Oreochromis niloticus: one gene and its partner. The protein of the gene in region 1 purifies or fractionates together with the protein of each later gene. This does not show direct contact. Links are inferred from orthologs where the notes say so. Each region holds a gene or a part of one and is shown in the gene's direction. Other genes may lie near its edges.

What was found.
Region 2: the proteins of naa30 (region 1) and naa38 purify together in Homo sapiens (co-immunoprecipitation; 3 studies listed by BioGRID and IntAct, with this or other methods). This does not show direct contact. The link is inferred for Oreochromis niloticus from reciprocal best matches to the Homo sapiens genes NAA30 and NAA38.

Annotation. Positions count from the first base shown.
Region 1 is NC_031980.2:4,761,663-4,769,854, reverse strand, and holds the start of naa30 (N-alpha-acetyltransferase 30), read left to right. Parts: upstream 1-5,184; 5' UTR 5,185-5,589; coding exon 5,590-6,420; intron 6,421-7,129; coding exon 7,130-7,253; intron 7,254-7,462; coding exon 7,463-7,518; intron 7,519-7,900; exon of another isoform or gene 7,901-8,038; intron 8,039-8,192. UniProt on the Homo sapiens protein: Catalytic subunit of the N-terminal acetyltransferase C (NatC) complex. Catalyzes acetylation of the N-terminal methionine residues of peptides beginning with Met-Leu-Ala and Met-Leu-Gly.
Region 2 is NC_031967.2:19,663,729-19,671,132, forward strand, and holds the start of naa38 (N-alpha-acetyltransferase 38, NatC auxiliary subunit), read left to right. Parts: upstream 1-4,330; 5' UTR 4,331-4,441; coding exon 4,442-4,480; intron 4,481-5,995; coding exon 5,996-6,170; intron 6,171-7,404.

The DNA of each region.
Region 1 (8,192 bases):
CATCAATGCACAGATCCATGCATATAAAACTGGGATTGATTCACTTGAAGGAAAATCAAACAAAAATCGAGTAAATGAGGACAGAATTTATTTTTTAGGGCTTCATCAAGCCCTAAACCAGTGTTGGGATCTTCCCGACCAATGGAGGTGATCTTCACGGGGACACAGCTCCCCCCACACATTTTTGAACATTAATATAGGCAAATTGCAGATTTGTTTGAAATGGCAAGAAGCCCTGTTTCGTGATTAGAACTTTACAACGTGACAAATGTGAATATGCACATGCTGCCAGTGACAGAAAACAAACAAACATCCTGTCAACATTAGCGTGATGAGGAGTGATGTGAGTCGATGCGTCTCACAGTGTGATATACGTGTGCGTGTGGGACGTGTAGGCTGACGAGAAAGAAAACATTTTTATTGTTCCTCTTGTTAACCGAAGGATTATTCGAGATCAGACGGGACAGGGCCGGACATCTAGTTGACGTTAAGTCTTTCTCTAACAAGACGGGTGCTCTCCACTCCGCACAAATCTTCTCCTTTCATTTTTCCTACCTTGCGCAGACACCTCCCTCCCTCCTTCCCTCCCTCCCTCCTTCTTCTCCATCTCTCTCCTGTCCCGTCTTTATTTCTCTTCTGTTTCTCTCTCTCCCCTCCTTTCTTTCCTTTTCTGCACTCCTCCCTGAGTGACAGCTCAATACCCAGCTCTCCCAGGCTTATCTAGCCTCAGCAGATGGTTGACTTGGATCACTGTTCATACGCCACGATCTGGGCTGGTGATAAAGACTGTTACAGAGGGAATATATGCTATCTCTCTCAGGCTTGCTCTTTCTTCCTTTTACTTCTCCTCTTGATCTGCGCTGTCATTCTCCCCCTCTCCATCCAACTCTTTTTAGCTCATTCGCTCTGCGCTCCTTCGATTTCTACCTGGACCCTTCCCACTCGTCTCCTTGTCGTGTCCTCCACCTTTCTCAGCTGTCCTCTTTGTCCCGCTCCCCCTTCAATCCACCCCTCTGTGACTCCTCATCTCTCTCCCATCCCTCAATCTCTGTGCATTGAATCTGGTGCTGCGTGATTGTCTCTGGTTCCCTGCTGGGCTGGCGCCTGTCTAAAGGGCCCCAGGACCCTCACACACTGAGGGGCTCCAGCCATGCCAGAGATCCCTCTCCTCTCGTTTCTCCTCTCTCCTCTCCCTCTTCCTCTCCTTCCCTTTCAAAAAGGTCGAATGGTGTCTTTCTTTTACTTTTGCAATGTGTGAGTTGCATGCAGCATGTGTGAGTTTCAAACAATGTGCCAAAAAGAACAGTTAGTAAACAGGTGAGATCAAAGCGCAGCGGTCTATACTCACATCTACACTGCTGTCTTTATGCGTTTAATTTATGTGATCACTTCACTCGGGCTACTGATGTACACTTCAAAGGCTGCCGCTGCCCATTTTATGTATGCTTCACTTGCTTGGTTTGGTCATTTGATGTCCTCCTCACATATTTTTCTTCTAATTCCACGCAAGCCAAAGGAGCAGGGTATAGCTGGCACTGCTGGGAAAAAAAGGGGTGGGGGTGGGGGCACAGGGTGGCGGGCAGTGATATGAATGAGAACATACAACAGACTGGCGAGGACATCACTTGCACGCGCCATACATTGGACCAACTCTGCGATGAATCCAGGTGTGGCACACGCGTAGAAATGATGCTGAAATTCAAATAAACAAGAATGGTGATGCTGCCGTGGGTACATATGGAGCCTGCCATCCCGTGTGAGGTGGAAAACCTCCCCTCCTTGCGATTTACTAGTGGCTCGCCTGCTCTCCAATACTCCAGACAATTCAAGGCCATCTTAATCTGAACGGTGGAATCTGGCAACCACTCCTGAGCACCTGCATCCGTCCAGCCTGACCCGCTTTTGTTCTGGTCCGACCCCCTAACTTTAGCCCCTAATTAACCCAACAGAAACTAATTAAATACAGCTCTAGTGGACCAGACGCCAGACAAAAAGAGAAGAAAAAAAATAGAAGAAGAAGAAGAAGGAGGACACAGGGAAGTGAGCGGAGTGAGGAGAGCAAGCCAATGTGACAGGCAGGAGCATGAGAGAGGAAGGGAGGAGGAGGGGGTCCAAAGTTTGGCCTCAAGCCCCTGAGAGCGGTTCAGACAGACAGGAAGACAGGCGGAGAGATTTGAAAGAGGAGGGAATTCGGGTTTCAGTGTCAACCCTGAGTTGTCTTTACCGTGTTCTCGCTCTCCGCTGATCTCCATACTGACCTTATGCTTCTTTTACATGCTGTCATTTTTTTTCTCCAGATATTTTGGGTTCTTCCTCATAGATTAGCACGTCTGCCAACTGCTGTAATCACAAGCGCACCAGTCACATGACGCAACTGACACCCTGGAGATATTTGGAATAGGGGAGAGCCACGGAAAGACAAGAGCAACGTGCAATGAAAGCAAGGCAAGGAGGGAAGAAAGGTGGCGGTGGCGGTGGCGGTTGTGGTGGTGGTGCGGGGAGAAGGTGTGGGACAGGCTTGTGAGAAAAAAGATAGGCCTATAAAAATATGGGTTCAAACCAGCCAAATGTCTCTGGCAGAGACGCTGCTGCTCCTCGTCCCAGCCACGGCTCGCCTAAGTGATAGAGAAAGTAATTAAGAGAAGCCTGTTCAAGTAGATAGGCCTGCAAAGGAGATTTGAAGAGGGGAACTGATTGTGCATGTCTGATTCCAGCTCTTCAGAGAGTTCTCAGCCCCAAGGCTTAGCTTTAAAAGAGACGTCTCTCTCTCTCTCCCTCCTATCTCGGCCTCTTTCTCTGTAATGTATATTTATACATAAAATATGACTCCCTTTCAAAACTCACGTATGTTCATGGTAGCTGTGTAGGACAGACAACGACTGAAAGATCAATCTGTGTTAGCATGAAAGAGCAAAGTCAGGCTCTCTAGCATCTGGCGCTCCCACTTAGACCTTTTGTGTCACGGTCTGGTTGTGGTAGACCGACTGGACTCAACTGTGTCTTTGTGAGAAAGCGATCCACTTCAGAGTACCTGGAGCTACAGCTGGAGGGCGCTACAGAGCGATACTGCCAGTTTGAATGGCGGTTTTCAAATCCTTGCCTCGTTTTGGTAAAACTGTCCACAGTTTGAGCAAATATTAGTGGGGCACGTCTTTGTGAACAAAATAAAGAACTTTCATGTGCAGTATAGTTTAAATTGTGTGCTGTGGCCACAGGTGCGAGCCAATCATTTTAATTTTGGAAAACATATTTATGGAAGTTGAGAGGGACAGGAGTAAGGATGCAGAGGAAAGACACCTATATGTCTCTTGTGGAAACTATTTAGTCATCAACACAGAAGCTGAATTTTGATGCGTGAATTAAAGGATTTTTGGAAAGGTACAGCAGGTCACAGTGTTTTTGCTGCAGATTTGAGTTCATTTGAAAAATTCCCCCCACTTAAGAGGAGCATAAATGTTGCAAGAAATCTGCCAGAAAAAACTGAGAAAAAGCTGGAATATCTGTCGAGGTCTACCCTGAGGTAAGGAAGAGACGTAGAGCAAGAAGAAACATCCAAAATGTTGACCGTCTATTACAGAAAAAGCAGGACTTTAAGGAGAAGAAAGCAAACTTTGGTGCTGGCAGGCAAGACAAATATGATGCTGAAGAGCTAAGAGCTATGATACAAGAGCTAAGCAGTACAGTTTTTACAGCTCTTAGAGTGAACTCACCCAAAACCTTTGATTCAAATAAATAAGTCATCACCACCAAAAACGACATTACAAACAAGGGGAGTCAAAAGATATAAATATTTGGTCAGAATGTGTGTGGAGAATAGAAATGCATAATTCAGCTTCTCATTTCCTGAAGTTCTTGTCCTATGAGTTAGGACTTTTTTAGAGCACTGTACTTCTGTTTTAAATATATCAAAGTTAATACTCTGTAATGTCTTGCTGATTTCAAGATCACCTAAATTTGTATGTTTTGTGAGGGGAAAAGCATGTGGTCACACAAAGATGTGCAACACAGTTAACAGGGTATGGGGAGCATCAATACTCAGAAACAGGTACTGCGGTAATAAAACATGGCCTATTGTGTGCAACAGAATACTACAGTAACAACATTTTTCAGAATCACTTGACTTCCTGTCGCTACATTTGAGTTTCAGTGACCTCACACTTTGTGTTCACCCTCACAGTGTAACAGGGGAAGGACCCCTGTGAAGTCTTCTGCGTTGTTGTCTTCTCCTTCCTATGCTGGCACACAATCTCTCTCCTCTCGCTCTCCACAGGCAGGCTGCTGCCTCCTGTAAAATTTTGGTTTTTGGTTGTTTTTTCTGGGGGGATTTCTTGGCACACGATATCACAAACTCTGTTCCAATACTACAAACTCATGACTTAGACTTGTGCACCTGGCAAATTTTATCTGGAGATTATTCCTCTAGTGTGAGCCTAGACTATTTTGATTACAAAGACAAATCTATATAGGTTTTGTAGTTGAGCAGGTGACCCGTATGCCAAAGGCTGCTACTGAGGCTTGCCCCAGACCATTTCATGCATGTCATTCCCTCCACGCTCTCCATGCTTCTCTGCCGGCTCTCTGTACTTTTGTGTCTAATAAAGGTTAGGGAAAAATGAAACCTTAAAAGGAAATAAATGTAACAAAAGTGAAAGACGAATATGAATGTGGTTCTTAGCAGACTAAAGGAAATGGTTAAATGTAAATATAAACAAAAAACAAATGTAATTATTATTATGTATTATTATCATGTTATGTGTAATATGAACAACTGCAGTGTTGTGGTTTTCTTGCTTCGCAGCATCCTGGGAATGATGAATTAACAGCAGCCTACAGTATGCTTCTGGAAAGGAGAGTAGACCATGATTGGATACTACTGGACATACACGCACCAACTTGCACCTACTTTGCAGGATGAAGCGACAAACTGGTCGAATGGCGGCATCTTGTGGAGAAAACGCAGTGTTGTTGTTGCTCTTACAAAACTATTCCATATGCTAAAGCTTCGGTTTGGCGCCCTCTGCTGGTAAGGAAGAATATGTTCTTGGGTTTAACAGGGCAGTACAAGGACTTCTTCAGTCACCTTTGACTTCTCCAGTGTTGCATTACCAGAATGTTGTGAGTACAGTGTGGTAATGCAGGGTACGACACAAACATATATATTATTTAAACTATACAGAACATAAAGGCGAACAGAAGGAGGTAAATGTCAGTATTGACTGGTTAGATAAATTTGACAAACAATATAAAAAGTTTCGCAAGGTGCAAGGATGACCAAAAAACAGCCTCGGGGGGCAGGGGGTAACAGAAGTGGGAAAAACCGTGCAACACTCATGCGTTACACTACTGTCGTAAAACGTGTATGAATGCCGTTGCAATGGCGTTTGCTGCGACGGCACTTTGCGGCAGCAGGGAAATCGAGGAGAAAGCAGCGACAACCATCGCCAGCGGAAACGTTATCGCCCCAGAAAACCCTGGATTTAAGCAATATTCGATGAACTAGCTCGTATATTGGTTGTATATGCCTTCGCCTTGTGGATGAAATTGTGTTCAACGTTTTCCAAGTGTCAATCACCACCTTAATGCAGTGGGATGGCCACAGTGCCGCCTGGGCCTAGTAGCGTACTGCCTGCATCCCCGGCTGAAATTCCTCCTTTCCCCGTGGCTGGGAGCGCGGAGCCGGCGGTGGAAGACGGAGAGCCGGCGTGCCACGGGGAGCAGTGTGTGCCCGCCGGTACAGGGACGAAGTCTCAGTCGGTAAACGAAGTCAAAAGGTCGGTCAAGAAGAAGCAGAAAAACATGCTAGCGCGAGCTAGCCCGTCGGCGCTTCACCTTAAAATGCAAGCCCGAGAGCAGCAGCAGTTGAACGGCTTGGCAAGCCCCTCAGAGGACCCTGACAGCCACCAGCACGTAGGAAGCCGGCCTGACAATCCCAGATCGTCCGTAGACAACTGTGACAACAGTATTGGCAGCAACGAGGAGGCTCCTGCCGCTAGGAACAATAGTGAGCACTGCCAACACGAAGGCCACAGCCCCTGTTCCAAAAACGGCAGTCACTCTCCTCATGGTAACAATAGCGTGAACGGGATGCCGGGTTTCACTACAGCTGAGGCGGCCTGCGAAGCGGGGAAAGAGTTGGACCACACGCCGCCCTCTAGACCTTCGAGTGACGAGCAGCCGGACGCTGCTGGGCCCGGCGGTGAGGAGAGCCAGGCTGACCTGCAGCAGCCGCCGGCCGAGGAGCTCGCCCGGCTCGACTTGAGCGGCTCCCCCGGGGAGAACCACGGCATCCGCTATGTCCGCTATGAGTCCGAACTTCAGATGCCGTGGATCATGAGACTGATCACCAAGGACTTATCTGAGCCTTATTCAATTTACACTTACAGGTACTTCATCCACAACTGGCCGCAGCTCTGCTTTCTGGTAAGTAGTAGATTGAACGCACCGCTCACAGTTATGAAGTCTGACTTCGGACTGGTTACTCTGAGTTGCAGGAGTATTATAGGAGTTGGGTGTGACAGCTTTATTTTTCACCACATGTCACTGTACGTCCAAGGCTGTCAGAGCTGACGTGTACTGAAGCTAAAGCACACACATGTCAATAACATTTCAGCTCATAAGTTTAGTTTCTATTTTACTGCTGGCAGGCAGTAAACAACCTGTCATCTACTGTTACAGATCCAACATTGATTCAGTTTTTTAGGTTATTAATGAATCAAGAAATGTGCCAGCCCACTCATATATGTACAGATTTGTAACGTAAAGCAATTATAAAATCTAATCGTCAGTATTAGCAGAGAGTAATGTGCCTTAGGTTTCCTTCTGCATGTGCTGTGTCATGGTAGCATTTTCTGCTTTGAAAACACTGGCCTGCCTTCTTTTCATTCTGTGGCCATCAAGGTCCAAAACATCCCATTTCCAGTTTTGGCTGGATCACCACATGTGACAGAAGAGGAAGTGCTATTTAAAAAAAAAAAAAAAGATAAAAAGGTCAGAGGTCAGCTTGTGGAGCCAGCTGAACTGGCAGGATGACAGGAACTTCAGAGGAACGGTTGCTAGGCTGTCAGCGGCCACCCCAGTGGACACTCGTAACCACTGAGCGTGTATTTTTTGTTGTGTGTGTGCATTTCAGGCCATGGTGGAGCAGGAGTGTGTCGGAGCCATTGTATGTAAGCTTGACATGCATAAGAAGATGTTTCGTCGAGGTTACATTGCCATGCTGGCCGTGGATTCGAAACACAGAAGGAAAAGCATAGGTGAGATCTCGGCGCTCCTCTTCAGAATATTCAGTCTCTCCCTTCACCGTCTTCTCTGCTGTCCCGGGCAACCAAATCTCTTTATGCAAATGCACCATTTAGATAGACTCTGCACTCAGAGTGATGAGTAATGTTATACTTTAATATATTGGAGATGGAGGCCATAAATGGGTTTAGCCTCTTACTTAGAGTCCACTCTTTTGTTTCAGGTACTAATCTGGTGAAAAAGGCCATCTATGCCATGGTGGAGGGCGACTGCGACGAGGTAAGCGAGCTAGACCCAGTGGCATTGTTTATGAACCAAACTTTAACACATTTGCACACATTACATAAGAGCCGTTATTCAAGCCAGAGTGCCAGCGTATTCAGTCGTACTGTGAAAATATGCATCCTACATAAAATCAATAGTATAAACACATGTTACACTGTTGGCATTCCCTTCTTTGTTGTAGATTTCTGAAAGGAACACAAACTGAAAGAGAGAACATTTATAGCTGTTTAAAGCCGTTTTTATTTCAAGGTCCAGTTTTCCTGGGCTGTCCTTCACTTATCTAAACTAGCTGGTAACCTTGATCTTCTACCATAAACTATTTCATATGCTCTGCCTCTCCCTGAAAAGCCAAACATTCATGCTGCTTCCTTTGCAGACTTTGAATTCTTCTAGAAGATGAAACATGTGATACAGCGTTACGATTTCTTCAGTCTCTTTGCTGGTTGAGACCAAAGAGCTGACACTCTGATACAACCCAGCAATATCCAGTGCTTTGAATGTGTACACACAAACGGTACATGTTTTTATAGGATATGTTTTTACTTATTTTAAAAAAGAAAAAGAACAAGTAACTGCAAGCAAATGTGTGGGTGGGTCTTCAGTGTCCTGTGCTCGTGCTTTCTATCCAAATATCTTCTCTTATAAAAGCAGTGACTTGCAATAGCAAC
Region 2 (7,404 bases), on another chromosome or scaffold:
ATTTATAAAGTGCTAAATCACAACAACAGTAGACTTATATAAAGGTAAAGGGTCTTTACCTTTATATGAGGTAAAGGGCCTACAATAATACAGAGAAAACCTCAACAATCACACTACCCCCTATGAGTAAGCACTTGGTGAGAGTGGGAAGGAAAAAATACCTTTTAACAGGAAGAAACCTCTGGCATAACCAGACTCAGGGAGGGGCAGCCATCTGCTGTGACCACGTGAGGGTGAGGGGAGAAAGACAGGACCAAAGACACACTGTGAAAGGGTTTAATATATGTAGTAACATTTATTTTTTGTATTTTCAGCCTTTATTTTGAAAGTATAGTATAAAGAGAAGGCAGGGTAAGAGTGGAGGAAATGGCCTGGGGGCAGACTCAGACTGTGCACCTGCAGCAGCCTTTGGCGTACAGTCACCTGCTCAACCACCCCACAGTTAAAGTGCCACCCACCCAGTAGCACCTGAAGCTTGAGCTCCCTGAGGAGGCCTCGGGGGTCAGACCACACCAAAGTCAAAAGGTCTTTTACATTCCATTCAGTTTGCATGCCGAGCACATGCAATTTAAAAAATGCAAGCAGTGTGAATCCAGGCTCACTGTCACCTCAGTGAACCAGCTTTCTAGTCTTACTGACCACACATTGTGGTTTACACTACAAGCCACATGTACACACATGACACCCACAGAGATATTCAAATAGCACCTTGCTATCTCTTAAAAAAGGAAGAAAAGTATGTTTTTAAAAGTTTAAAATCCACTTCAGCTAAAATTAAAGAAAGTTATATGTCTATAAAATTATATACAGTAATTAAAATAGTAGGTACACACAGGTATTACTACTCTATTTTTACATGCAGAGCTGTGTTATCCACTGTTGAACAAAGTCCTGCTCACATCGTAACCTAAGGAAGTTTTATATGACGATAACTTAAATGTTGCAGTGCAAGCACGCCTAAATCTCCCTGAACCCCACCATGACACAACCTTCTCTAACCCTCCTGTTGTCCCAACAGATCTATAAGTGAACGCAGGAGGGGAAAAATGTGGAAATATGCGCTAAATAAAAGTGTCAGAAGCTGAAAGCCATCCCGACCACGCGGCCGACAGCTCAGGCAGCCCGGCCGCTGTGACATCTCGTAAAGCCTCCATGTCTCCAAGTTCCGCGCTCCGTCTCTACGCTATGTGTCAGTCTGTCAGCTGTGGCTCCCACACCAATAACCGGGTATCATGTAAACAAGCATTTCAGTTACGCCTCGCCTGCTGAGCACGCTCCTCCTCCTCCTCTCTGCTGCTGCTGCTGCAACAGGTGCTCGAGCTGCTCCGGCTCGGCTCGCCCCGCGCCCACAAATGAGAGGAATTTTGTTAGTGTCTGATCCAAAGGCCACATCTGCCAAGAGAGAGACGGTGCAACGCAAGACAACATGGGCAGAGGAGACATGTCTGTGTGTGTCTGTTCACGAGAAGTGTATCAGAGTGTGTGTGTGACTGGAGTCCCCCCATCCACCCACCCACTAAGCCTCTGGCCACTGAGGTGTCTGTGGTTGCCAGATTGAGAGGCTGGTGATGTGGAAGCTTTGTGTGTGTGTGTGTGTGTGTGTGAGTGTGTGTATGTGTGTAGCTTACGTACCCTAACCCACACTATCTATGTGTGCGAGTGTGTGAATGAGGTATCTGTACTCATAACCGTGCATGTTTCTCACTATGCTTTTGCAAAAGAAAAAAAAAAGGATGAAACCAGCCAGGGCTCTCATGTGCCGTAGGCCCTGACATACTGCACTACTCTGCTGTGACTACCCGCCTTCCCCCTCCCCGCCCGCCCGCCCGCCACTACCAACACTCCCCGTGTCCGTTTGGCAGGGAGACATGTCGAGGATGAGAGAGAAAAGCCTCCCCTGGGTGCTGCGCTCCAGCTAACCCAGATTTTATGCAGTGTGACACACAGAGGAAGACACCGGCTCCTGAGCTCCATTCAGAGCTGAGCTGTCTGAACTGAGGCGACCCGGGGAGCAGATAATGCTTAAATAACAGGCGTGCAGCAGGGGCCAATCCAGCAGACGCTGGTGTGGGATTGAATTAGCAGCAGAAGAAGTGCTGATCAGTTGAGTTTTGGCTCAGCGTATTCCCTGAGCAGTGAAACAGTTGTAATAAAGTGTTAAAAAGTAAAGGTGGGACACAGTGCTTTTTTGGGTTTAATTGTGCCAGTTAATGGGCTCCAGTTGTAGACTTCTACATTTACAGATGATGATTTCTGGGAAAGTTTAATCAGAGACATAAGAGGGAGAGGAAGAGGGTGATGAAAGACTCCTGAGCTATCCAACTATATCAAGACTGTTTAGGACATAATCAGCAAAGTTTAAGTCTCTTAACGTCCACCAGATAAAGCATGACACATCTAGGTTTAGGGTTAAGGCTTCTTCGGACAGTAAAAGAAAGGTTTAGGTCATCATCTGTGATCATCATTTTAACCTAAACTATTAAAATGTGTAATTTTAAGTTTAAAAAGAAAGTTCTCTCAAGAAGCTGAGACAGGCTCCAATTACGACGCTGAATCTGATAAGCAGAAGAAGCTAGATGGATGGGTGGGTGGATAGATATGCTTCTCTCCAAAACACAGCACTAGGGTTAGGGATACCACTGATAATGACTTTAACCTCACATATTAAAAGCTTTTTAATGTGGGTGCTCCTACACTTCGCCGCAGATGGGTCAAAAACACAAAATAGCCTTCTTTTGCATGCTATTCGTGGAGTTTTGAAGGATAAAGAGGATACAAATCAGAATATGCTACTCACCTTTAGTTAGGACTGTGATGCCAGTCATCCCTCTTCTAAGGATTCAAGATACCATCAGCACAGTCAGCAGCAAGGCCAGCACTCACTGCCACTACAAAACCACCCAGGAAGATCTGTGGATTATGAGTTCAGATTTAAAAAACTATGCACACCACCTAGCTGAGGCTCTATTTTCACTCTGTAGTCATTCACATAGAGATGCGTCGATATACAGTGAATATGATGAAATGCTGCTGCACAAGAGCGTATCTTCTACAAAATCATGCTTTTTTTTTTAACATCAGTAGTTACATCTGTTCCGGGTTGTTTGCTGAACAGTGTTTGTCTGATCTTATCATATCGTGTCTTAACTTGATCTTTCCTTTCTCGGGAATCACTCACATAAATCTTGAGTCTACATTCTTTTTAAAGTCTTTTAAAATATTTCACAGCAATAATAAAAAAACGCAGGAAAACATAGGAACTGAATAGAAAAGAAACTATTAGCCCCTCCTCCAAACTCTACTTTGAGAGAAAAGTGCAAACCAGATATTTATATTCACATGCCAACATTCCAGTTCGACATCAACCGTCTTATCCAGTGTGTAACACTTAATCTATGCGGTCTATTTTTCCAAAACACATTTAGATTTAGATTTTTGGCACTTGAGAAAAAGAGGTTTCCTATCATAGTGTTTCTTCTTCTCTCACGCAGCTTCTCTATCCTCTTTTTCCTGTAAGTAATTGGGTTTCATGGTTCTGTTAGCAGATGTTTGGCACGGTGGATCTTTTGCTTATTGTTTCATCCGGTTGCCCTTTTCACTCTACAGTGTGTGTAACGGTGTGTTCACACCGTAACTGTTCATTTCATTTGTAGTTATGCTGACAGCCTCTCTCTTTACTTGTATTTTGAGTCAAAATAACTTGACTGCTTTTATTTGTTCTGCAGATATTGCGACTTTATTGTTATTGTGTTGCCATAATAGTGCAGTGAAAATGATATTTTTGCGACAATCATAACCACTGTAATGACTTTAGCAGTTTCCCCCCAGGTTTTTAAATGTGGTACTTTAGAAAGGATTTTTAAGTAACACTTGGTAAGTTATACAAGTCATCTTTTCAGTGAAGCTCGTGGATTAAGCAACGCGTACAAATCAGATAGAAATCTCAGTGATTTTATCAGTGTTTTTAAAGCGATGTGTCAGGAAATGAAGGGAAAATGATCCTGTAGCGGCCACCCGTGGCGACAGTGGGGACATACAGGCGAGCTTTAAAATACCACACTCCAAATTCTCCAGACTTACCCGAGAGGAAAACACGTAGATAGTTTTCGTTTTTGCAAAGTATGGGTATATGAGTTTTTAGAAGGCTTTAGCAAACAGTGCTAAAACGAGGCTAATGAAGTCTTTGATCAGTGCCAGGTGTTAGTTCCTCTTAAAATTAATAAATTTGCAGACTTAAACGTTAACTTATTATTATTAATATTTATCATTTAAATAATGTAACATTTTTTCTTTTTTTTTTTTCTTTTTTTTAATTCTAGCAGCATCCTAACGGACCTCCCCTTTAAGATGAAAAAAAAAATTGGATCGTTTCCGGTTTCGCTGGTCCGTCGGTGAAATTGCTCCGTAAGCAAATGCCGGAGGAGAAGAAGAGGGGCAGGTTATGGCCACAATGATTGAGGAAAATGGTCCTTCGACTCACGTATGTGTTTCTCGTTTTAATTTTTCAGTTTGTCTCAGGGTTGTTGGTGCTGTTTAACATGTCAAAACTGAGATTAAAAAATAGTTCAACGGAAAAGTATTTGAACATTGTCATTGCTTCAGTTGTAGCCAATTCGTTAGTCGGTGGCTAACAAATTAGCTTGTACATCTGACCTGGTAACCTGCGTTTATTTAACTGTTTTTATTTATATATATATATATATATATATATATATATATATATGAACGACAGACTACAGATTCACTATGTGTTGAGTTCTCCTCACCAAAAGGCACAGTTTGGTCATTCTGTCTCAAATCATTATTTTTTTCTCGACCGTCTCTGATTTACCTAAACATTTTATAGTCCAGAGTTTGGATATATATAATGATTGTTTTAAAATGTTAGCTTCATATATAAAATGTTTTCAATATATATGTTTTAAACCCCATCCACCTACTTTCAGGCCTTTTTATATCTCAAAACTATTAAAGGTAAAAGCCTTACATTTATAAGAATAGTGTACATTACTGTACAGTGTTCTTATTGTATATATTGTATATCTTATATCTATTTCATCTGTTCCTCTGTCTCTCCTGCTGCTTTGAGCATGTACATGACAAAAGAATTTCCCTCGGGATAAATAAAGTTGTTCTTATTCTTATTCTTATTCTTACATTTCCACAGGCCTTTCTTGAATCAGGAACTGTAATTTGGGACAGTAAAAAAAAATCACATTGCAGAAATGCTGTAGTGACAGTTTCTAAATGGTATATTGATTCATTTCACAGTACTGTAACATAAAACACGTAAAAAGCTTTTAAACATGAAATTCTTGGTCACAGAAATTAAGAAAATGTCATTTTAATTCAACTTTTATTCTGTGTTTAGCAAACATGACAAGTTGCACCAGGAAAAAAAATATCAGTCGATTGTCCTGTCGAAATAGAACAAAGTCCTGGAGTCTTCAGATGGTACTCTAATTATCACTCACAAACAAGTCTGTTACATATATGTGTACTTTTGATACCTACTTTGTAAGTATGCACATTGCTTTGGATGAGTTTGAGACTTCAGGTTAAGATGAGAATGTATTAAGAGATATGAGATTTAACAGGACTGCATGGAATTTATTTTCTCATATTTTATCTAGCTAATACTTAAAGATTTTTTTTTGGTCTGTGTGTCCCAAATTAAAGATCCTGATTCACATTTATGGTAAACACCAGTGCAAATTTCACACTTTTTTCTTAATAGTTTTTGAGATATTCACATTCAAACACTGTCAGATTTCAAAATTTGGGGGGAAAAAACATTATGAAAGTGGGTCAGTGGACAATTTTGAAGAAAATGTATACTAAGAAGTGTTTGCTATATGAAGCTGAAATTTCACAGCGGTCATTACATGTGTCTAAACAGGGCTTCTTTCAGGATTTTCCAAATAAAATAATAATGGATTAATAATGTGCCAATTAGGTCTTATTTTGCTCACTTTCCCTTATTGTCCTCCCCCAGGAGCAGTCTGAAGTGTCCTCATCATCTCAGGCACGGCAGAAGCTGGAGGGGCTCCTGAACAAGAACATGAGGATCCGCATGACAGACGGACGGACTCTGGTGGGCCTTTTCCTCTGCACTGACCGGGACTGCAACGTCATCCTCGGCTCAGCTCAGGAATTCCTTAAATCCACAGGTACGCAGAGGCTTGAGGCGACCTGAGCACAGCGTCCACTGATGCCTTTTACACCGTATAAAAAGGCTGTTCTGTTCTTTTTCACACCTCGCATTTTTATGGCGTTGTATTTATAAAGCATCTTTGAAGTGTCTTTCAATGCCAAACCATCTTAAAGGTTATCAATAAAGCTAAAAATAATACTGATCAGAACCAGCAGCTGTGGGAAACTCAAACGATGCTTTTGTCATTCACTTCGCAAAAAAAATACACAGGGAAATGGGTAAAAGTTGTGTTGTTTGTTTGCACTCTTTTGTGGTTTATTTGCTGTGACCTGTTGTTTCAAAACTCATGGAAATGGAGCAACTTTTATGTTTTGATGATGCAGTTAAAAATCATTTCATATTTACATATATTAATCTGTAGTTTAGTTACTAGATTATTGGTTTTGCTAAAAAACAAACTGTAGTGAAAGAGAAGATGATATTAGGTGCTGGAAACATTCCACCGCATCCCAGAGCTGCTCTGTTGGATGAGATCTGATTACTGTGGAAGCCATTCGAGTACAATGAGTTCATTGTCATGTTCGAGAAACCAGTTTGAGGTGATCTGAGCTTTGTGACGTGGTGGTTACACTGGGGTCATAAAGGGGTGGGCATAGTCAAATACCCCAGTTAGGCTGCAGGTATTTAGACTATGCTATGTTGGTAGCCAGTGATGCATGGCAGAGTAGCTCTTTAAACCAAACTCTGTCCCAACCGTCTGAATGTCACAGTAGAAATTGAGACTCAACAGACCAGACAACATCTTCCTTTGTTGTTATTGGGCAAAACCTTGCTGTTCTTTCTGTATGTGCTGTTCAGAGATGCTCTTCTGCGTACCTTGCTTGTAATGAGTTATTGTTGCCTTTCTATCAGCTTAAACCAGCTTGGCCGTTCTTCTCTGACATCAACAAGACATTTTCTCCCAGAGACCTGCCGCTCACTGGATATTTTCACTTTTTCATATCTTTCTCTGTGAACCGCACAGATGGTGATGTGGGAAAATTTCCGAAATATTCAGACTAGCAGAGTCACTTAAATCACCTTTCTTCCTCATTCTGATGTTTACATGTCTAAATGCACTGATTTGCTGCCATGTGATTGGCCGATTTGGTATTTACATTAACGTGCAGGTGTGCTTAAAGTTACCGTTGAGTTCATAACGATTGTTTAGGTATCACACAGTAAGCGTCGTCTGACCTGTTGTCTCGTTT